4 linked regions of the Mus musculus genome follow. The protein of the gene in region 3 purifies or fractionates together with the protein of the main gene of each other region. This does not show direct contact. Links are inferred from orthologs where the notes say so. Each region holds a gene or a part of one and is shown on either strand. Other genes may lie near its edges. The genes, in order: Usp15, Smad2, Tgfbr1 and Smurf1.

The links.
Region 1: the proteins of Tgfbr1 (region 3) and Usp15 purify together in Homo sapiens (affinity purification with western blotting; 4 studies listed by BioGRID). This does not show direct contact. The link is inferred for Mus musculus from reciprocal best matches to the Homo sapiens genes TGFBR1 and USP15.
Region 2: the proteins of Tgfbr1 (region 3) and Smad2 purify together in Homo sapiens (affinity purification with western blotting; 8 studies listed by BioGRID and IntAct, with this or other methods). This does not show direct contact. The link is inferred for Mus musculus from reciprocal best matches to the Homo sapiens genes TGFBR1 and SMAD2.
Region 4: the proteins of Tgfbr1 (region 3) and Smurf1 purify together in Homo sapiens (affinity purification with western blotting; 3 studies listed by BioGRID). This does not show direct contact. The link is inferred for Mus musculus from reciprocal best matches to the Homo sapiens genes TGFBR1 and SMURF1.

The regions. Positions count from the first base shown.
Region 1 is NC_000076.6:123,194,220-123,199,784, forward strand, and holds the start of Usp15 (ubiquitin carboxyl-terminal hydrolase 15), read right to left. Parts: upstream 2,801-5,565; 5' UTR 2,697-2,800; coding exon 2,608-2,696; exon of another isoform or gene 1-2,607. UniProt on the Homo sapiens protein: Hydrolase that removes conjugated ubiquitin from target proteins and regulates various pathways such as the TGF-beta receptor signaling, NF-kappa-B and RNF41/NRDP1-PRKN pathways.
Region 2 is NC_000084.6:76,239,565-76,245,046, forward strand, and holds the start of Smad2 (mothers against decapentaplegic homolog 2), read left to right. Parts: upstream 1-2,136; 5' UTR 2,137-2,415; intron 2,416-2,518; exon of another isoform or gene 2,519-2,668; intron 2,669-5,482. UniProt on the Homo sapiens protein: Receptor-regulated SMAD (R-SMAD) that is an intracellular signal transducer and transcriptional modulator activated by TGF-beta (transforming growth factor) and activin type 1 receptor kinases.
Region 3 is NC_000070.6:47,351,092-47,356,564, reverse strand, and holds the start of Tgfbr1 (TGF-beta receptor type-1 isoform 1 precursor), read right to left. Parts: upstream 3,344-5,473; 5' UTR 3,254-3,343; coding exon 3,169-3,253; exon of another isoform or gene 2,327-3,168; intron 1-2,326. UniProt on the Homo sapiens protein: Transmembrane serine/threonine kinase forming with the TGF-beta type II serine/threonine kinase receptor, TGFBR2, the non-promiscuous receptor for the TGF-beta cytokines TGFB1, TGFB2 and TGFB3.
Region 4 is NC_000071.6:144,895,761-144,900,525, forward strand, and holds part of Smurf1 (E3 ubiquitin-protein ligase SMURF1), read right to left. Parts: intron 3,739-4,765; coding exon 3,605-3,738; intron 3,453-3,604; coding exon 3,387-3,452; intron 2,299-3,386; coding exon 2,223-2,298; intron 1,057-2,222; exon of another isoform or gene 972-1,056; coding exon 730-971; intron 1-729. UniProt on the Homo sapiens protein: E3 ubiquitin-protein ligase that acts as a negative regulator of BMP signaling pathway. Mediates ubiquitination and degradation of SMAD1 and SMAD5, 2 receptor-regulated SMADs specific for the BMP pathway.

The sequences.
Region 1 (5,565 bases), on a different chromosome or scaffold from region 3:
AAATTTTCTAAATTCTAATTTAACTTTGCTTATGGTTTCCTCACTGTCTTGTCAGAACGGAAACAGACAAACAACTAGCATTGTGAGACTACCGATTTATTCCTTGTCAATGAGTGTCACCTTGCTAGCTCACCTGTCATAGGGAGAACTCTTGTACCACTGTTTACCTACTTCTTACTGCACGTCCAGTGCCAGTCGTACAGAATGCTCTCTTTATCTCAGCACAACTTGTGTACTCAAATCACCACCCATAAACAAATAAACAGAGATGGGTATTCATGAAGACCCAAATCAAATACAAATATCTGCCTAGGTAGTTGAGTTAGTTTGCAAAGTGCTCAGGAGCTAATGTGGTGAAATTTAACGCACCTCACTATAATTTCAAAACTCTGTACGAAGATTTCCAGATTATGGTAAGCCTATCTCTTTTTTTCTTAGTAGCAGAATCAGCATGAAGAACTGTATTAAAAGGCAGCATCATTAGGAATGTTGAGAACCACTGATTTACACAAAATAGAAAATTAACAAGGAGGTAAAACTTGCATATTTAGCTGCTGCCTAAAAACTGGACTTAAGTTCTTTCTTGAAATTAAGGCATTGTAACAACCCAAGTATAGACTTAACTTGTACATTTTGACGTGGTTTACGGTAACTGTCAAGAAAAATATACTCGCTTAAAAATAACCAACTTTAAAAGTAGTTTAATATCCACAATACAGGTATTTCTTAAATCATATATTACCATGAACACCAATTATACGTGATATTACTCAACAGAAAAACATTAGTGAGAAAACTATCCACATTCTAAAAAATATTTCTATTTTATCGGTAGTCATATTTATATTTGTATGATACAATAAATGAGTGAATTGGTTTTTAAAAAATGTTCTTCAATATACCAGAGAGAAGAAGCTTGAATTTATCTGTTAAGATCGCACAGGCCAAGGGGAGCATAGGTGTTCTAGGGAATGCCCGATTTCTTCTCAGCAATAAACTCCGTAAGAAAAACAAAAGCAGACTATAAGCAATAATGACTTAAGCCTCTGCAAGGCTGTAATGCAACAAGTGTGTTTTCCATCATCAAGGTTCTTAATTACACAAAGTGTTTGCCGTCTTACAAACTAAGGATCCAAGAACTTCAATTCAGGTCCCCCAGCTGTCGCCTATTAGCTAACTCGAAAATGATTCCAACCCCACAGCACTTGTCTGGAATTAATGGCAGAAATAAAAAAGATCACTAAAACTTAGTATTTCATGAATACCAGATAGTTCAGAATATTTAGCTGAATTAATATAGAGCAAACACAATAACATCGTTATTGCTCTTTGAACAGATGGAGATGCGGAGGCTCAATGGCTTGGATGAATTTGCTTCCAAGTCACACTGCAAAGTATGAGGTGGACCTGTGAATAAATCAGGTCTAAGTCTCTTTCCACCGCGCCACACTGGAGTGCCTAACAAGCACTTGAGAACTGTGAATAAATCAGGTCTTAAGTCTCTTTCCACTAGCCACACTGGAGTACCTAACAGGCACTTGAGACGCTATAAACCACTAGTACGGAGACAGAAGGAAGGAAAAGTAACTTAGGAAGAAAGAAAGAAAGAAAGAAAGAACGAAAGAACACACAGGCACACTGCCCTTCCCCTAAAACAGAACTTTCCCTTTATTTAAATAATTCTGTAAGTTAACTGCTTTGGCTGACGAGTGTTAAATTTTGTACATGCTTCCTCTAGTTATTTAGGTACAGTACCCTCTTATTTTGGCATTTTACAAGTTTGAATATGAGCAAGCCTTTAAGCTTCAAGTGGACTTATCTACTTTCTGCAGGCCTACGTTATCCTTCAAACCGGAGGGAAGGGCTGCACTTCCAAACAGAAGCGCTGCCGGCTCCTATCGAGCCAGGAGCAAAGCACAGGACCACGTGGTGCCTCTCTCTCTCTCTCTCTCTCTCTCTCTCTCTCTCTCTCTCTCTCTCTCTCTCTCAAGAAAAAAAAATTAAAAAAACAAGGTCCCTACACCGCTCCCTCCTTTTTGACAAGGAAGTGGAAATTAGGGGTTTCCTTTTCAGCGGAGCCCTGACACACACCACCTGTGTGGTCCCCGCCGCAAACATCCTGAAGCCCGGCTCCCGGAAGACTACAAGGATCGGAATAATGGGGAACTTGGGTGCGGACGACGCCGGGGAAGGAGTGACCAGAGAAGCGCGGCGGGCGAGCGAGGAGGAGCGGCGCGACCGGGATCTGTCAAAAAAAAAAAAAAAAAAAAAAAAAAAAAAAAAAAAACCAGCGGCAGGCAGGCTCACGCCGAGCCACTGCACCCGGGCTCCGCCAAGGCCCCAAGTGGGAGCGGCACTGCCGGAGGGAGGAGGACCCGGAGCCCCGCGAGCCCCGGCCGCCGCTTCCGCGCAGCCCCGGGCGCGCACCGCCCACCGCGAGCCCCGGCCCTCTGCGCCGGTCCAACCTTTGCCCCCAAAATCTGCTGCCTGAGCGGCCGCCGCCGGACCTGTCCGCACCTGTCACCAGCCGGCGACACCAGCCCACCGCTCCCGCCCAGCTCTCCGCCAGCCTCGGGCCCCCGCGGGCCCCGCGACCCCGTTCCCTACCAGGTGTCCCCTTTCCGGAGCGAGGTTTTGAGCAGCGTCGCGATGTCAGAACGCTGGGTGTCCAGGTCCGCCGCTCCGCCTTCCGCCATCTTCTTCCACTAGCCGTAGCGGAGGCGGCGGCGACGGCGGCGGCACGCCCCGGAGCATTGTGGGAATGGCGTCCCCGGCCCCGCCCCGCCGGCAGGTCTGTACCAAATGGGGCGCGAGGGCGGGGGTCTGGGGGCGTGGCTCGGCGGGGAGCGCGGCGGGTGCGCGCCTGCGCCCTGCTGCCCCCTCGGGTCCCCGCACGCCCCGCAGCACGGCGTGGTCGCCGCCGCCGCCCCAGACCTCTGAGTTTGCACGGTTCTCACCGGGTGCCGCGCTTTCTCTCCCTGCCTTTGCCCTGCCCTGCTCGGACTCTCCTTGCCATGCTGGCCCTTTTCTTGCCGCAGCCGCCTCCAAACCCATGTTTTTGCGGGTTCACTCCTACTGGAGGGCGGGGCCGGCTGGGACATGGCAGAAAGCGCGCAGTTCCGTGACTTGGGGCTTTTCCTTTCCAGCCGCAGAGCCCAAGCCCACTGAATATTGGCACAAAGAGGGCTCTGAAACCAAAGGTTTGGGCGCAGTGCCCTTCCTAGGTTCTTCCCAGCTCTCCCATGCTTGCTGTCTGTAGGGACTTCTACCTTTCATAAGCTCTTTGTGACGCCTCCTAGCGCGCGTGGACACACACACACACACACACACACACACACACACACACACACACGTTAGCTGCAGTGCAAAACATGTCCCAGTTTCTAGGTGAACAAGCAGTTAAAGATGTATTGAATAAGGCCAGGTACTGAAGGGGGTTAGAAACGTGGGAGAAACCTCATGGGCGTCAAATTAGCATTCCCCTAGATTAAATTTCATGGTTGTATATGCCTAAAGTTAGACTCGATAATACAAGCTGCATTTGAAGGCAACAATTACAAACGGGGAAATTGAGCCTCTTAAAAATCAAATGCCAAGGTCACACGGCAACTGGAAGTGCAAGGTTATCGCACAGATTTCAAATCCCCAGTACTCAGTACCTCCATGAAAGGCTGAATTAAGATACAAACTCCGTAAAAGCTGCAACTAAGTTCTCTTTATAATTTGGCGTGTGAGTGTGCGTGTGTGTGCGTGTGTGTGCGTGTGTGTGTGTGTGTGTGTGTGTGTGTGTGTGTGTGTGCACTGCGGTTTAATGGTCTAGTACCATTCTACACCATTTGAGGCAAACGTTTCAAAATTAACTAAGGCAAAACTGCTGTTTCTAAGAATGAAGACGGCTACCTCAGTAGAACAGTAGGTGACAAGTTAAAGGATGGGCAATGGTCTCTCCATTTTTTAAGCCTCCTAGTTTTGGTGGGAAACTCAGTAAGGAAGGGGGTGCCTGCATTAGTGAGGACTGCTGGCCCATCCAAGAGAAAGCAGTGTTTCCCTGGTTAGGGTTTGTCAGCTTGACAGAAACTAAAGTCACTTGGAAAGAGGGGAACCTTAATTATGGGATTGCCTCCCTTAGAGTAGCCTGTGATGAGTCAGTGGAGCATTTTCTTGTTTAACGATCGGTGTGGTAAACCCACTGTGGGCAGGTGGTCCTGAGTTGTGTAAGAAAACAAGCTGAGCAAGCCATAAAAAGCAGTGTCCGTCCACGTACTCTGCTCTGGGTTCCTGTTGAGCTCTGGCTGTGACCTTCCCCTAGCGTAAGCCACCCAGACCCTTTCTTTCCTAAGTTGCCTTTGGTCAGAATGCTTTGTTGCAGCAATAGAAAACAACTAGCACAACCGGTGTGTATTGGCGTCATACTTGAGTGAGTCAGTATGTGACTGCTTGTTTCTGCGCAGTACTCTCTTTGTATTACTTCAGCCTCAATGAGTCTAAAAGTCATTTCCATTTACGGCTATTTCTTATGTTATTTGACCACTCCTGATTATAAAACCGAGTTTTCCTAACTATGGACATTCTCAGTTGTTATATATCCACACCCCCCATCCCCATCTTCTACCACTCTGTGAAGGAAAGCAAAGTAAGTTTTCAAAGAGAGACAACTTGGTATGCAAAGAATATGCTGTATCCTCATACATACATGGCTTCGGATCTCTAGCTGCCAACACTTAATCTGTAGTCTATTTACAAATTTAAATAGTATAATATTTATCTTAAAGGATTTTAAAAGCATGCAGTGCATTTATTTTCTAGATGAGTTGAGTGTGTGCCTGTGACAGCCTACTGTGGAGATCACAAGTCAACGTTGCAGGCGTCAGCTCTCTCTACTATGAGGGTCTCAGGGGATCAGACTTGGGTAAGTCACAATTATGCCTGCTGAGCCAAATTGCCAACCTAGCCTTTTAACAGTTTTTGAACTTTACTTTATCTTATTTTTCAGAAAGGATCCCATGCGTCCCAGGTTGTCAGTGCAACAGAAGATGACTTTGAACTTATCTGATCTGTCTGCTTCCGCCTCCCCAGTTCTGGGATGTTTCTGCAGCACTGGGCATCAAGCCCAGGGTTTCGTGCTTGCTATGTAAGCACTCTTCTGCCTGAGTCCTATCTCTAGACCCCATTAAGGATTTTTTTTTCTAAAAAAAAAAAAATGAAGATTAAATGAAACAATATGAGTTTGTTGCCTGGAACTTAATAGCCAATCAACAAATGTTAGTAGGAAGAATTGGACTGATATCAGGATAAATTGTATAGTATGTGTGTTATATCTCAATAAAGCTATTCTTAACAAAGCATTCAGGACTTTAAAGGTAAAACTGTGTCATTTGTTATTTTATAAGCATAACAGATCCATGAAGTAATAAGGCCACTGCCCTCTCTTCTAGTTTCCCACCACACAGAACTGCCAAAGTCCGCGCAGAAAAACAAACAAACAAACAAAAAACCCACAGTCATCTTCAGCTACACTGTGTTCAAGAGGAGTCAGTTCACGTTATACGTCAGGCTGATGAGATC
Region 2 (5,482 bases), on a different chromosome or scaffold from region 3:
GTGACCCCTTCAACAATCCTCCAACTCCAAAAATATATTCAAATTACAATTCATAACAGTAGCAAATAGTTATGAAGCAGCAATGCAAATAATTTTATGGCTGGGGGTTAACACAACTTGAGGAGCTGTTAAAGGGTCCCAGCATTAGGAAGGTTGAGAAACCATTGCTCTAGAAACCAAGCCTTGGAGGGCTGTGTAAACGGAGGAGTTATGAGCTCAAAGTCTGACACTTTGGAGAGATGGTTTAACTCAAGAAACACACACACACACACACACACACACACACACACACACACACACATATATATATATATATTTGGAATCTACCCAGCCTTGCTTCCCCCTCCCCACACCAACTCCTCGTGTGGACACCCAAATCCACATATGAACCACACAATGCTTTTTAAAAAATGTTTAAGATCACTTTTAACAGGGCATTCTGTATTAAAGCTGTTGATTTCTATCAGTATAAAGAAGGGTTGTAAGTCAGAACCAGTTTTCCTCCTTCCAATCTGAGCACCATTTGTCTTAACTACATTCCCAGGTGGCTCTGGAAGGCTGAAACAAGAAAGTTCCTTAACTGATGCCCCTCAAACTTCACTTTTATTTTGGTGGTGCTGGGGTTAAAATCAGGGCCTAGGATGGGCCACACAAGTGCTCTGCCCGGGAAGCTCTATCCTCTGCCCATTAACGTGGGAATTATGTGGACTTCCTCCAAAACTGCTAACAGAAGAAACCACCCTCTGAAGGTGACTTTCTGCTAAGTTCTTGTTAGCATAAATATTTGTCCATAAGCAAAGGGAAGTTAATGATCTTTATCTTTCCTTTAATTTCAAAGTCCTGTTCATGTTTACATTCATGATTTCTTTTTAATTATGGAAGTCTATAACATTTTTCATTTATAATATGTAAGTTGGTATCATGATCATATAAGTTCGTACCACTCTGTCAAAGGTCTTGGATTTGGAGTAGAGTTGCGTTCAAAACTATGACTGGCTTACATCTGGGGTGAGCCACATCTTTCCCCTAAGAATAGTGGTGAAGATTTTGAAAGCCTATTTTAAAAACCCTGAATGTCTGAAGGGAAGAGCAAATAACTCAAGGTCCACATACAGACCCCTGCTCTGGGATGCCCTCACATCTGAGGAGAGAGCATGCTCCACTCTAAAGTGCTTCAAGCACTATTGTGTTGGTTCTCCTGCACTGCTCTGTAGTGCTAGTGAGGCTTGCTGGATTAACGTATAGGTGGGCACGACCAACGAAACTATTTTACCACTAGCAACCTGAAAGAGGCATTGCAAATTTAGGTTTATTATCCTAACACAGTCTTTCATCTGCCGGGGTTGAGTCAAAATCAACCTGGTCACACCACTGCGAGTAGTCTGAAATTTGGGAACTTGGTGAGAAAAGTCTAGGAACAGGGACACAGCGAAGGAAAAATGTGGTAGAGAGAAGCCAGCAAATCAAGGAGCACACGCATAGGTGCTCACACTTCACAATGAGCATTCGAAGTGTGTAGCACTAATACTTTACTTCAGAAGAACCCACGGCTCGGGCTGGAGAAACACACCCAGGAGCTGCCCAGCCCTAATACCAACCGCACGGACAAGAACAGCTCGGCGGTTTTCGCCACCCGCCCCCGCCCCCCTCCAAGCACGAGGCCCCGCCCACTCATTTGCATAGGGCGCGCCCCTCAGCGGCCAGGACCCAGGCTGCTTCAGAGCTCTGCCAGCCCAAGCGGCTCAGACCCGGCTGGGGGCGGGCCCGGGCCGGAGCACGTGTCCATTCCGGCCTCACGACGGAGGTGGGCGAGGGCTTAGCCGCGGCGCTCCACCCAGAGGCGCCGGGGCGGGGGTCTGCGGGCGTGGCACGCCGCGCGGCCTTCCGCGATCCTCCACGAGCCCGGTGGGAGCGCGCCGGACACGAACTCAAGCGCAACCGCGGGCGTACCAACCCACCCGGCCTCGCCTCGCCTCACGCTCGACGGGGAAGGCGGAACCAATCAGCGAGCGACGTTTCCCTTCCGATTCCAGGCCCCCGACGCGGTGCTCACACCCCGGGCTCCCCGGTCGCTGATTGGCTGCGCGCGCCGCCGGTCCCGGCCGGAGGCGGGAGTCGGCGCCCCGCGCCTGCCCGCGCCCCGCTCGGCCCCCGGCCCTGCCCGCGGCGCCCGGCCTCCTTCCGTCCCTGCCGTGCTCCCTCCGTCTTCCGTGCGCGCCCGCTCGGCCGGCGTGCCTCACGCCTAACGGGCGGCCGCGGGCGCCAATCAGCGGGCGGCAGGGTGCCAGCCCGGGGCTGCGCCGGCGAATCGGCGGGGTCCGCGGCTCGGGGAGGGAGGCGGGGCTACCGCGCGCGGCGGTGGAGGAGCAGCTCGCCAAGCCTGCAGCTCGCGAGCGCCGAGCGAGCCTCCCGGAGGTAGGTGCGCGGCGGCCAGGGCGGTGGCGCGGGGTGCGGGCGGTGCCGGGGCGCGGGGCCGCGGCGAGCGGAGCGGGCGGCGCCCTCCTCGGCCGGCCGCGGCGAGCGCGGGCCTGGGGGCGGGGCGGGGGCCCGCGGCGCAGTTCCGCCTGCGCGCGCCCACTCCTCCGGCAGCGCGGAGCCCGTCGGAAGAGGAAGGAACAAAAGGTCCGGGGCCCGGCTCGGACGGGCCGGGACCAGGCGCTGGGTGCAGGTAAAGCCGGGGCGCCCGGGGAACCGGGCAGGAGTGTGCCGGGCCGGGTCACGTGGCCGCCCGTGTGGGGTGTGGCGGCGGGCCGTGGCGCGCGGGCCAGGGTCGGCGCCGTGGGCAGGGCCGCGAGCCCCCGCCCCGCCCAGCCTGACTGCGGCCCGCTTCTGTCCCGGCGCGCGGCCGCTCTCGCTCTGTGCCTTGCAGAATGGCCCCGGAGTCGAGTTAGGGGCGTGTGGTACTTTGCTTATACTTTTCCTTTTTCTTTTTCTTTTTTTTTTCTTTCCTGTGGCCTTTGTTAACCGTAACAGTCGCGGGTTCCGAATCACTGTGTGTACTCAGAAACACGCTCGTGGCTGAGGCTGCCCGGGCTCATCCTCCACGCACTTGGGAAAGTTGCTCCGTGGGTACAGCCTATTAGTTTCTAATCACACGCCTTTAGGAAGCATGCTAATTGAGTGCACTTATTTCAGATTGGTTTTCACAATCGGTGCTTGGATTTATTTTCTTCTAGGGATACTGTCCTTGGGCCAGGTACTTTTGTCCTCTTACCCTTGCGTGTTATGGTTTCCTTGTGAATCTAAACAAAAGAAAAACAAAAATCGAGGTTGGTTTTGTTATTCATTCCTTTTACACTTAAAGGCAAACACTACCTGTTTGTTGTCACGCCAATAAAAAAGAAAAAAAATGCCCAGGTGAAAATAATTCCGCAGCAGCATCCCGCCTTATTGTCATGCCTTGTTAGGACATTCTAAATGGCGATGTTTGTAACTAATGAAACGACGTGTAAATAAATGAACCATCAGGCAAATTTATCTGAAGATTATCTTTACAAAAAATGGCACCCTGGTATGTCAATTTACAAAATTTCTTGTTTCTGATTTCCTGACTTAACCCCATAACACTGATGAAAAGGATTTTTCTATTGAGCCTAACACTAGAATGCATTTGCTGCCGTGCTGGAAATATCTTTCCTATTAGTTTACTTTGGTTCCTGTAAAAAGCATTTTTCCCCTTAGCAGAGGCGTGTTAAGTAGTTAAAACGAAGTTGGAATAGTTTCAATCCATGAGTTAGTGAAGCAGATGGAATCCAGACATGGGAGAAGCAAATGTATTATAGTTTTAAGTTTTTTCTTTTTCTTTTTATTCCCCCCTCTCCCATTTAGCTATGAAACAGCTCCATAAAGAGGGGTTCCCCCCTCCCATTAGATCATTTGGCAAATGTTTATGTTTAATCCATAAAGTAACATTGATGTTACTTTTAAAATTTCTTTGTTTTTGCATAAACTTACCTGTGGTGATGAGAAAATTTGTGGACTTTTAAAAGCTGAATGCCCAGGTACATGCTTAATGTTAAAATCCAGTTAACTTAATTAAGTTTAAGGGTCCTCACTGGCCAGGCTTAATGACTGAACTGGGATTACAAACATCTCTTGTGTTCCTTTGCAAGACACTACTCTTAAATACTGTTGTTTCCTGTTTTATAGCTACACATAAAGTGATTCGTGTTGTAGGTGTTCAGCAAAGTTTGGTCTTTAGGGTTCTGAAGTACTTGTCACTAAATAGCTATGCAATCTGTATGGCTCGTAAAGTGAGTGTTGGGAGAAACTGCAGAGTAATTTCCTTTTAGGCTTGGTTGTGTGATTTAACTCTCATTAGGAATATTGGGGATGGTTTTCTATATAGCCCTTTCCTTCATGTGGACAAAGAGAATACTAATTCAGTAGAACAAGAGGTCTCTCATTTTGATGCATATAGAACATGTTGCTGTAGTCAGTACTTTGCATGAGGGAGGCTGGGTGAACACACAAGTAAACTTAACTAGGTTAGCTGCAGAACTGGGTGAACAGACAAGTAAACTTAACTAGGTTAGCTGCAGAACTGGGTGAACACACAAGTAAACTTAACTAGGTTAGCTGCAGAACTGGGTGAACAGACAAGTAAACTTAACTAGGTTAGCTGCAGAACTGGGTGAACAGACAAGTAAACTTAACTAGGTTAGCTGCAGAACTGGGTGAACACACAAGTAAACTTAACTAGGTTAGCTGCAGAACTGGGTGAACAGACAAGTAAACTTAACTAGGTTAGCTGCAGAACTGGGTGAACACACAAGTAAATTTAACTAGGTTAGCTGCAGAACTGGTGGTTGAGGACCTTTTGAGTTTTTAGATTTGACTTTTGGGCCTAACGGTTCCCTTCATGCTTGGTTTGGATGCCGTTGGTTTAATTGTTTGGACCCAGAACCCCATGTTTGCAGCAGCCTCTTTATACAGGTGCTTTTGTGATGCATGCAGGAGCTGTATATAGTGTAGTCTGGCAGATGGAGGTTTATTCATATTCTTGGGACAAGAATCCTTTTTAGAGGGTGGAGAGAGGCATATCTTTTTAGATGCTTTGTCTGAGTAAAAGCAGAAGACACAGTTTTAGGCCCGTGGTTTCTGTAAGTGCAAAGAGGTTTTCTACTAAGTATTGCAAAGGTGTATCAGACACTGACTATAGAGAATTCAGAGTTACTTTATTGGACAAGTAACACTTACACAACAAACGTTCTGTGGCTAGTCACCCCACTACTCCTCAGTGGAATTAGGGAAATGAGAGCTCCATGTCTTGTGGCCAAGGCCCCAAAGTAAGAAAGTTAATTACGTTAGAGCCTAAGTTGAGCTTGAGCATTCAATAAATCCATCCAGAGCCCCTTCCTGCAGTATACTTGCTTGCTTTCTGTCAAGTGTAGAGGGTGGCACTAGGGCGATGGGCTGCGTTAGCTCCTGTCACTGAGAATGAGCTCTTTGTTGGGGTAGGGGCACTGCCTGCCACTTTTCA
Region 3 (5,473 bases):
AAAGCCAAATGAACACTATCTAGAATATCAGGTCTGAGAAGTTCTGTCCTCAAATTCCTACAAAAGAGATAAAATGAAGCATGCAGCAAAGACTGAAGAGTCAGGAACTAGTGGGAAAGCAGCTATCACTAGAACTCAGGAGTTTGCAGTCCTGAGACATCTTTCCAATGGAACAATCGTAATTCCTAGCCTCACATGGGAAACCTTCAAACCTCACTGGAAAATCCAGGATAGTTTGGCATCTGTTCATACAAAATCCTCCATGACAGAACACAACAAAAACCATGTAGATTTAGGGGATAACTAGCAGTACTAAGCTGGTAGTTGCTCAGCAAGAGAGGATGTTAGGGACTTTTTCCAAGAAAGCCCTGAAATTGCAGGCAGCAAACAGCATTCTAACAAGTGATGCAAATATAAACAAGTAATATTGTGTATTTGTCCAGGGATAAGGGATCAATTTCCCTACAAAAATCTATATTGGAGAAAACATATGCTAGCAGAGAAATATAAATAACAGACAGTAAAGAGCAATTTCAAGTTTTAAGAGAAGCTAAATTATAAAGAAAAGCTGTGCATTTCTTCAGAATGTATAAAAGGCTACACTGAAACAACCTAACGAAATGAGACAAGGTGAACTTATCTAGGTCTAGCGTCTTCTTTTTGGGGGGTGGGGTTGAGATAAGACCTCTATATTATGATGTCCTAGAACTCACTATGAGATCAGAATCTGCTGAGTGCTGAGATTAAAGGCATGAGCCACAGTGCCCTGCAGGCCATAGCTTAAACTGATTCCTAATTCCACATAGAGATGCTGGGTCATATAACAATCTGGCAACAGTAAAGGACTTGTGAATGTATAACACCCCAAAATTAATTCAAAATCAACTGAGTAATGAATCTGAGGTGTTTCTGGCAATCCATGCTTATGTTGCAAGATGCAACTTCACTACAGTCTTGGTTCTAAACACACATGCTATCGTGCTATGCAGTGCTAACACAGTCCAGACTATTATTTTATGAGTTTTAATGTTTTTATTGAATATACAAAGTTTTCTATTCTTCCAGAAACATACACAAACTACAGAAAAGACTTTCATTCCTCATGTATATCAAAGTGGTATATCCTTGACCAATTGTATTGTGTTAAAATGTCTGATTTTAAAAACTGCTGTTTAAGTTGCTGACTTAAATTTCATTTTAAAAATTATTACATAAATCTCATCTTGTGATTAAGATAGAATTGCAACAATTTCTGAAATGGTCCTAAACATCTGTAATTATGTGGAGTCGCCAGCACTGGATGATTCAGTTCTTTAAGAAAAAATAAACTCACCCATCTCATTACTACAGAAATGTGCTTTAATCTTTAATAAATGGTAAAACTGTATATACCAATGAATTGTTTTAAAATAATTTTATTTATGCTCTATTATCAGTACATTTGATTTATATACCCATCTTTTACATTTTGTATGTGACTCATGGGCACATACAATCTTTTGAGAAAAGAGGGTGGCAAATGGGGAAAGTTTATGAAGTACTAGTCTAGGTTTTGAGCAATAAAAACATCTAGGCTAATTTTGTATTACATCATTGCCTAAGTAGGCTATAAAGTCCTCCAGGACATGAACCAGCCTTCTCAGCATCCACGTCAATACTGCTAAATGCATGAACGTGTCCTGCTTTGTTTTAGGTAGAAAAGAATTAATTACTTTACCCAAATAACTGTTAGATATGGTCACTTATAGTTGATGCATAATTATAACAATTCTCCCACTTTGTCCACCATTATTTCCTTCCTAAGCCAATGTCAAAAACCCATTGTATCTTCTACTGTAGACCTATGTAAAGAGAATGTTCAAGTAAACTAAGAAACTGATGGCTAAGTTATGTTATCAAATATCAACTGTTCTTTAAGTGAGTCATGCTACTTTGGTGTAACAGGTGCACAGATTTTGAACCCTGAAAGCCTAAGTGCAAATCCTAATTTCTGCACTTACTAAGAACTTAATCTTCTGCACCTCAGTTTTCATGTCAATATACAGGACAAATACTGGTACTGCGAGGGTTCTGATACTGTGTCTTTTACATCTGCATTATAATCAACTCCCAATAAACAGTAACTATTAAGTTTAATCATAGTTGGCATCCACAGTCTGGAGAGACTTTTGTTTTGGCTTGTTTTGCTTTTTAAAATGTTGTTATCCAATTTCCGCAACAAAAATGTATTTTCACTGTATGCAGGTTGCTAATGCCGAGCCTCAGTATTTTGCTTTCTCCTATTTTAATTGGTTCCTGACAAAGTTTTTTTCAATCTTCCCTCCAGAGGTGACAACCAGTATCACGACCGGCTTTAATATTTTGGGAAACCACACATTTCCCTTCAAACCCCAGCTACACAGAGGTCTGGTTTTAAAACTACCGCTTAGGGAAATGATACACCCAAAGCAACGATCCCCTCGAGAAAAGGAATAATTTGATCAATTCTACAGAACCGTTCCCATTCAAACGTTCCCAAATCTGCAGAGTGAGCAAACGTTCAAGTTTCTACTAGCAAGAAGACAATCTGCAGCCTTCTGGTTACTGGACTCTGAACTCTTCCCAGACTCACGAAGCGAGAACATTCCGCGCATCTTCGCGCCTGCTTCTCACACAAAGCCCCTGGTTGAAGAAAAGTCGCCCTAGGCGGGCGTCGGCACTCACGGCGGTGCGGCCCACCCGGGGTCTCTGCCCACGGCGCCCCTTTCGACCCTCCGGGGAGCCCTCCAAGCGCCCGGCCCCGGAGCGCCTCCACGCCGGTGCCCGCCCACGCCCCAACAGCTTCAGGCCGGGGCGCATTTAGGCAGTGGAATCAGGGGGCCACGGTCCCGGCCGGCCTCGCACCCCTAAGGGCAGCCCCCGACCTCGGCAGGCTCGCCAGCCGCTGCCCCCCGGGAGCCCAAGAGGGCCGGCCTCTGCTCGGTGCTCCGCCACCCGCGCTCGACACCGCCCCCGCCCCGCCTCTCCTCCCCGCCCCGGCTCGCGTGGCGCCTGCCGGGTCAGGAGCGCCCGGCCGGCCGGGCGCCGCCACCTGCGCCCCCGGCCCCGCGCCATGTTTGAGAAAGAGCTGAAGCGAGCCAGAGGCCCGGCCCGGCCCGCGCGCCCCGCAGCCACCCGCCCGCCACTCACCCTTCGCCCCCGGGAGCAGCGTCGCCGCCGCCACCAACACGATGAGGAGCTGCGGACGACGTGGAGCAGCGGCCGCCGCCTCCATGGTCCCGCCGCCACTGTTTGTGGCCCGGCCCGGCCCCGGCCGCAGCTTCTCCTCAGGAAGCCTCGCCCCTCCTCGCCCCACCTCCCCGCCGCCGCCGCGGCCTCGCTCCGGCCCTTTGTAACTGCTCGAGGGGCGTACGCCCATTGGCTGCCCGGCTCCCGCCGACCCCGCCTCCCCCGCCGCCCGCGAGCGCCCTAGCGGGACCTAGCCGAGAGCCCCGCCCGCGGGGCCCTGGGCTACCAATGAGCGGCCGTGGGTTTCTGCCTCTAACCACGCCCCCGCACTGCTGGGCCTCTGACCACGCCCCCTCACCGCTGGGCGCCTTTACTCCAGCCACAGCGGGCAGCTCGCGCTCCCGCGGCGGGTGGGGGCAGGGTCCCAGTCTGCGCGCCCGAGGGAGCCCACGGTCCCGACTGAGCGCAGGGTGTGCCTGTGAGAGTTGCTCAGGGAAAGACTGTGACCGTTGCACGCTCTTTTCTTCTACTCCAACCCCACCCTGACTTCCCCTGCACAGTCCTGCACCCGCAAAACCCAACTCTCGCCACTCGGACCCTCAATATTGTCCGGGGTTCAACTTCCCCCACCCTAGACCCGCGGCTTCCAGCCTCCCCGCAAAGACAGTCCGATTTCTTTCTGCACTCCACGTCCGCCCCAGACCTCGTCGTCCTCTCCCCAAATTCCAGTCTCAAAGTCGGAGCCCAGTTTCGGAATCCCAAGGTGGAGCTCAGACACACCCCCGAGTGGCCTCTGTGTCTCGGCACCGTAAAAAGACCCAGACTAAGGGTCCCCGCCGCCCTCCTTCCCTCCCACCTTTGCTGTCCCCGCGTGGAAGCGGAGAGGCCCACGGGTTTCGAAGGAGGGAGGATTGCCCTACGAAGAAGCATCCCGCCCCGGGGCGAAGCGGGAGCAGTCATAGGTACTTTGAGTTGTCTCCGACACTCCTGTGTAATAATTTCGAGGTGTCACTAAAAACCCAAATAAACTCAGCTCCGCTTTCATTCTGAATTCCTAATTTACTGTGAGACGCTCCACCCACCTTCCCTCTGGGACGCCAAAATGAGCTCCAGATTTGTAATTCTTCCTGTCAGACTAGTCCTTTCTTCAGACACAAACACAGTCACGGAGGCGGCCGCATGGCACCGACAGCATTTTTCCGCAGAACCTTTTAAGGAGAAAATGTTATTTTCTGTGTGATTTGAACTCGGAATTAAATAAAGCTCCGTAGTAGGAATCAGCCGGCCTCTAGTAGCTGTTGGTAAATTGCTTTATAGCCACTTTCCAAGAGTTTGATCCTGCTTATGAAAGCAAACCGTGGGGGCTAAGAGCTGGGGTCTGAGACTGCTCCTCGGCTCCAGCTAGGACACGCTTCAGCAAGTCCTCAACCTGCCAGAACCTGAACAGGCCTGCTCTCTGGGACTCCAGAACCATCAGTTCCTGCCTCCCCTGGCTCCCCTGGCCCCCCTGGCTCAAATGCCCTGAGGTTACAGGGACTAAATTTGACCAGCTTCTAATGAAATCTCTCTGGGAGATATAAAGAGCCTGACACACCTAAAATCTCCAGTGACTGCCCCCGCCTCACCCCCACCCCTAAAGCCTTGTACTTCCTAGGCAAGTACTCTACTCATAAGCTATACCCCCAGCTCTTGTGCTCCTATGTGCACCGTATGCAAGTAGTGCTTGTGGGGTCCAGAAGAGGGCGTCCAATCACTTGGAACTGGAGTGACACCTGGAGTGGAACTGTGAGCCACCTAACAAGGATGCTAAGAACGGAACCACTTCCTCTGCAAGAGCAGCAGTCTCTTAACTATTAACCTATCTCTCCGGCCCCCAGCCCTTGGTTTTTAAAGATGGGGGTCTCACTATGCAAACCAGGCTAGACTGAAACTCGGAATCCTCCTTCCTTAGTCCTCCACCTCCCCTCCCCCAGGCCTGGGGTTGCAGCCACATGCCAAGATGCCCCCCCTATTTTTCTTTTTCTGATCTAGTCTGTGTCTTGCATAAGATCTCAAGAGATTTTTATGCTATGCATGAATAATTAATCTCATAGGAATTTTTTCTCTGGTTATCTTTAATGGGTTGCAAATATTAAAAGCTCCCATCCCACTTATAAATGGGACTGAATCACAAGTCCAGAGTGCCTTAGTGACATAATGTGTCTGGAACAGTGTCTGGGACATAGTAAATATTTAGTTAATACCATTTACTTTGCCCCCTCCCCTT
Region 4 (4,765 bases), on a different chromosome or scaffold from region 3:
GTGCACTCCATCCCCGTGATGCCCCTCCTAGTCTCACATCTCATACTATCCCGAGTCTCCAAGCTTCCCTCACACTGCCCCAGAGTTCATTACAACTTTCCCATCTGTATGTGGCCCAGGTCATCCAATGCCACAGTCATAGAAGGCACAGCTAAGCCATTAGCAGCTGTGCACAGCACATAGGGGCACAGGGCAAATCCCTCGATGTCCGAACTGGTTTTCTGTCACTTGATAGAAGCTAGAGTTATTTGGGAAAACAGAAGTCTTAACTGAGAAAATGCCTCCATCAGATTGGCCTGTAGGCAAGTCTGTGAGATACTTTATTGATTAGTTATTAATTTGGGATGGCCCAGCCCACTGGACAGGTGGTCCCAGATGGTATAAGGAAGCAGGGTGAGACCAGGCACAGTAGCACATGTCTGTCCTTAGTTCCACCCCTCAGGAGACAGGGGCAGATGGATCTCTGAGTTCAAGGCCAGGCTGCTCTACAGAGATAGTTCCAACCAGTCAAGACTTCAGACTGAGACCTGTCCCAAAAAACGCAAGCAGGCTGAACAAGCAGTGAGCCACACGCCTCCATGGCCCCTGCCTCAGTCCCTGCCTCCAGCTCCTACCCTGACTCCCCTTAGTGACACACTAGAACTTACAAGCCTAATAAACCCTATTCTCCACAAACTACTTTTAGTCCTGGTGTTTACCATAGCCACAGGAAGCAGACTTTACACGCACCATAGCCTTCAGGCAGCTCTGGCGACTGGTGGCCATGTGGTCGGTTCTGGGGTGTCTGTAAGGGCCCTCGAACCTCAGGATTTCGGAGTCGCTGTACCAGGAGTCTCTGATCTTGGCTTGGAGACTCCACAAACCTGCAGTTCCCGCCTCCTGCTGCTGCACCAGTACCATCTGTATATGGGGCAGGTTCCTCCATGAGGCAGCTGAGCGGCCTTCCAGGGCCTGAGTCTTCATACACTGTTCTGGAAGGGAGGGCAGAACAGGCGTGGAAACATTATGGAAGTGTCACAAGACTCAAACACGCGATGCTCTCCATCCCTCTAACGAGTGACTGTGTTCTCAATGCAAAGCTTCATGAATTCCGAGGGTCCACCAAGAGAGAAAGAGCCAATCACGATTTAGAGCTCTATCTAGCAGGGCCACCGGAGGTGCCGCTACCTGACTGGGAAGGTGTTCCTGACACTCCATTTTCTTTGTTATTTTACTCGAGGATGAAATTCTTGACTCTTAAGTACTTTTTAAACATTCTCTTCCCTCTCACAGCAGTTTCAAAACCAAATTGCCTCAATGAGTCACTTCCCTTTACAGTCAGATACTTTTTAAACTTCATATTGAAATTTTTCAATGCATGCACGACATGGAGGACCAGAACAATGGGCCTTTCCCCAAAAGCGGCAGCAGTCACAGGGGTGTCGCCAGGCTGCCCTCCACTCCTCCCCACCAAGGGGCTAGTGTCAGTTCAATCCCTGCATTTACTATCCTACCCGTATGTATTTTAGCATGGGCCACTTTGTTGTTTCTTTAAAGCCAATGACTTCTCCATTATTGTTGCTGAACCAAAATAATAATAATAAAATAATCATCACCATCATCAAACACCGGTCAATGTTCAAATTTCTCTTAATTGTCTTATAAATCATGATTAAGACAGAGTCCAGGGCCTGGGGAGACAGCTCAGTTGGGAAAATGCTTCCCGCACAAGCAAGGAGGACTTGACTCAAAGCCTAGCTCATGTGGTGGTGTGTGCATATAATCAGCACAGGGGAGAAGGAGCCAGGTAGCCCTGGTTGGCCTGCCTGGGCTAACTGGTGAGCCCCAAGCCAATGAGCCTGTCTAGAGAGTCAAGGTTGCTGCCCCCTAGGCAAGGGCATCAAGGCCGATCTGCACAAACACCCGCTGTTTCTTGGGCTTCTTTGTATTTTATAGCTTAGGCTGACCCAGAACTCAGGATCCTCCTGCCTGTCTCCTTAGTGCTGACATGACAGGCATACGCCATTGTGCCCAGCTAAACTCTAATTGGTAGGAACTTCCCTGTGTTGGTTCCCGAATCTCTGGGGTATAATCCCTGGGTTAATTACACCTTCCTTCACACACTAGTATGGTAGCTTGGAGCAGTTTTATCCCACATAGCAGTATATGGTTTGACACTTCTTTCCTACAGGGAAAGAGAACATGGCTGGCACCACAGGGGGCAGCATGGTAGGCATACGTACCCTTCGTTCTCCAGCAGCCCTCTGCAGTCCACCACTGACCCTCCACCGCCTATTCTGTCTCGGGTCTGTAAACTGACTACAACACAAAAGAAAAGCCCGCATTAACACCCAGGGCTGCTCGAGACCCCTGTCAGTATCACACAAAGGAAGCGAGTTTACACCTCCCCCCCTGTTTTCAGTGTGGAGCACCTCAGGCCAACAGCTGCACATACCACACAACCATTTGAGCAGTCCTTGAAAGCAGAAAGCAGAAAAGGCCCTGAGCTTCTCATGCCCCATCCCCATAAAACTGGAGAATGCAACATTTCACTCCATTAAGTTATCCATCTTAAGAAGACTAGGTTTATGTTTAGTGAAGGTACAAACCTTCAATCTAAGAAAACATTTATGTTCTAGTCTCACTGGTGCAAACAACATGTTTTACTCCTAGGTTTTCAGTTGTTTGATTTCTGCCCCGACACACCCCTCTACAAAGGAAAGAAGAAATTCCAAGTGGGATGCAATGCATGAGAACTTGATCCTCAAGTTGCTTCTGGGCGGATGCAGCACTCACTGTCTTGGGACCTGAGGCATCTGGAGTCCGAGTGACTCAGCCGGGCTGCGGCTCCACTGACTCCATGCAGCACACACACCCAGCATGTGCTTTCCCCTAACACACTGCCAACAACAGGGTGGGCAAGGAGACAGTGACTCAGAGAGGTCACTCCATCGGAATGCCTGCAGGCAATGCAGCAAGCATGCTTTAACCTTTCTCTCCACACAATGGAGTCCTCTGACTGTGAGTCACATTACACAGAACTTGTCACACACTTTCTTTGCTTTTGCAACAGAATGGGGCTTCCCAGAAAAGCCACACTCCAGCTCCTGCCCCTGTAGTCTCAACTCTTATCACCCCTGACAAGATAAGGGTCGATTGTCCGTTCCTGTGCTGAGTAGCACAACACTTATAAACCACAACCTCCCATCCTGGCTGGAGTCACTGGAACTAAGTTTCAATGACAGGATGATGGGAACCAGAGAAAAGAAAGGAAACCACACAAGAAAGGTTTAGTACTGGAGAGATGGCCCACTGTGGTCTGCCCTGGAAGCCTGTCCCCCGTCAGCACTGGGAGCAGGACGGAGGGTTCCATCCAAGTCCCTTTATGCAGATGAGAAAATTCTTACCCACTATTTGGCCACGAACTGCATCAGTATCTGAGGGATTTAGTTTGCATAGATCCAAACGCTGGTCTGCAAACAAACAATTCAAAACTTAACCCAAAGAACGTTAACTAGGGAGGAAGGCAGGAATTCTGCATTCGGCATTCAAATAAAAGTAAGACACAGGGCCGCCTAAGCTTTCCGAGGGTGCACTGAGAGGCAGAAGAGCGTCTGGTTCTTACAGCCAGTGTCTTTCAATCTGCTGATGGCATTGGAGAGCAGCCGCACACAGCCCAGGAAGCCAGCCCCCTGCTTCTTGTGGATCTTCTTGTGGTTCCACACACTGATGGTTATCGAGTCCGTTTTCCCAACATACCTGTGAGAGCACACAAACTCGTTCAGCACACAAACTCGTTCAGCACACAAACTCGTTCAGCACACGAGTCCATCGGGCCCTCACCCACATGCATCTGGCTGCCTCGGGACCCTGGCAGTGAGGGCAGAGCCACCATCCCTCATCAGGCACAGGAAAAGGACTCCCACCAGCTACACAAGCAGTGAGTGCAGGCAACCATGGTGTAATAAGCATTTTTAAATTTGTTTTTCCCTTTGTTCATTTATTTACTGTACTAGAGATCCGAACCAGGGATTTCACAGGGGCCAAAGCAAGCCCTCTACCACTGAACCACACCCTTGGTCCCTCACTGGCAAGAGTTCTACCTAAAGTGAAGAACAATAGGCAGGTGTTCTACACCTAATGCCACATGCCCAATCCTATCCCACCACCCTTAAAAGGAAACAAACAAAAGAAAAAAACCTTTTTTTATTCTGAGATGGAGTTTAAGCTCCCCAGACTGGTGCTGTGAAGCAATTTCCTTGGAATTAAAATATTCTACACCAGAAGGACTTATTGAGACTCAGGAAATTCTAAAGGAATCTCATTAAAACACAGGAAGTAAGCAACTCACAAAGTCTCAGGAAGTCCTGAAACTTAGCAGATTTACAAGGTCCCTTCCTCCCAGCCCTCCCAGAGTTAGCAGGGACTGCTGAGGAAAGAAGACTCCCCAAGCTGCTCAGCTGCCTGCAAGGCCCAGCACCGCTGGTGCTGGAGTGGGTTTTCAGAACTTCGGTAGCTCCTCTAAGTCAGCCCTCACCCCACCCTCCTGTAAGGAAGTCCAGTGTGTTCATCAAGTCACAGAGTGGACCATGATGGAGAAATTACCTCAGTCTGTCTCTGTTTACATCTCCCCACATAAGAGCCAGGTTGACTGGCTCTGTAAACTAGGCAGGCCCCTGACTTGCGATGCTCCTGTCTCAGCTTCTGGAAGTGCCAGCACTACAGGCCCCTATACCACTAGGCCCAGCATGTGATAAGATCTTGTAAAAAGGTTGATTATGCATCC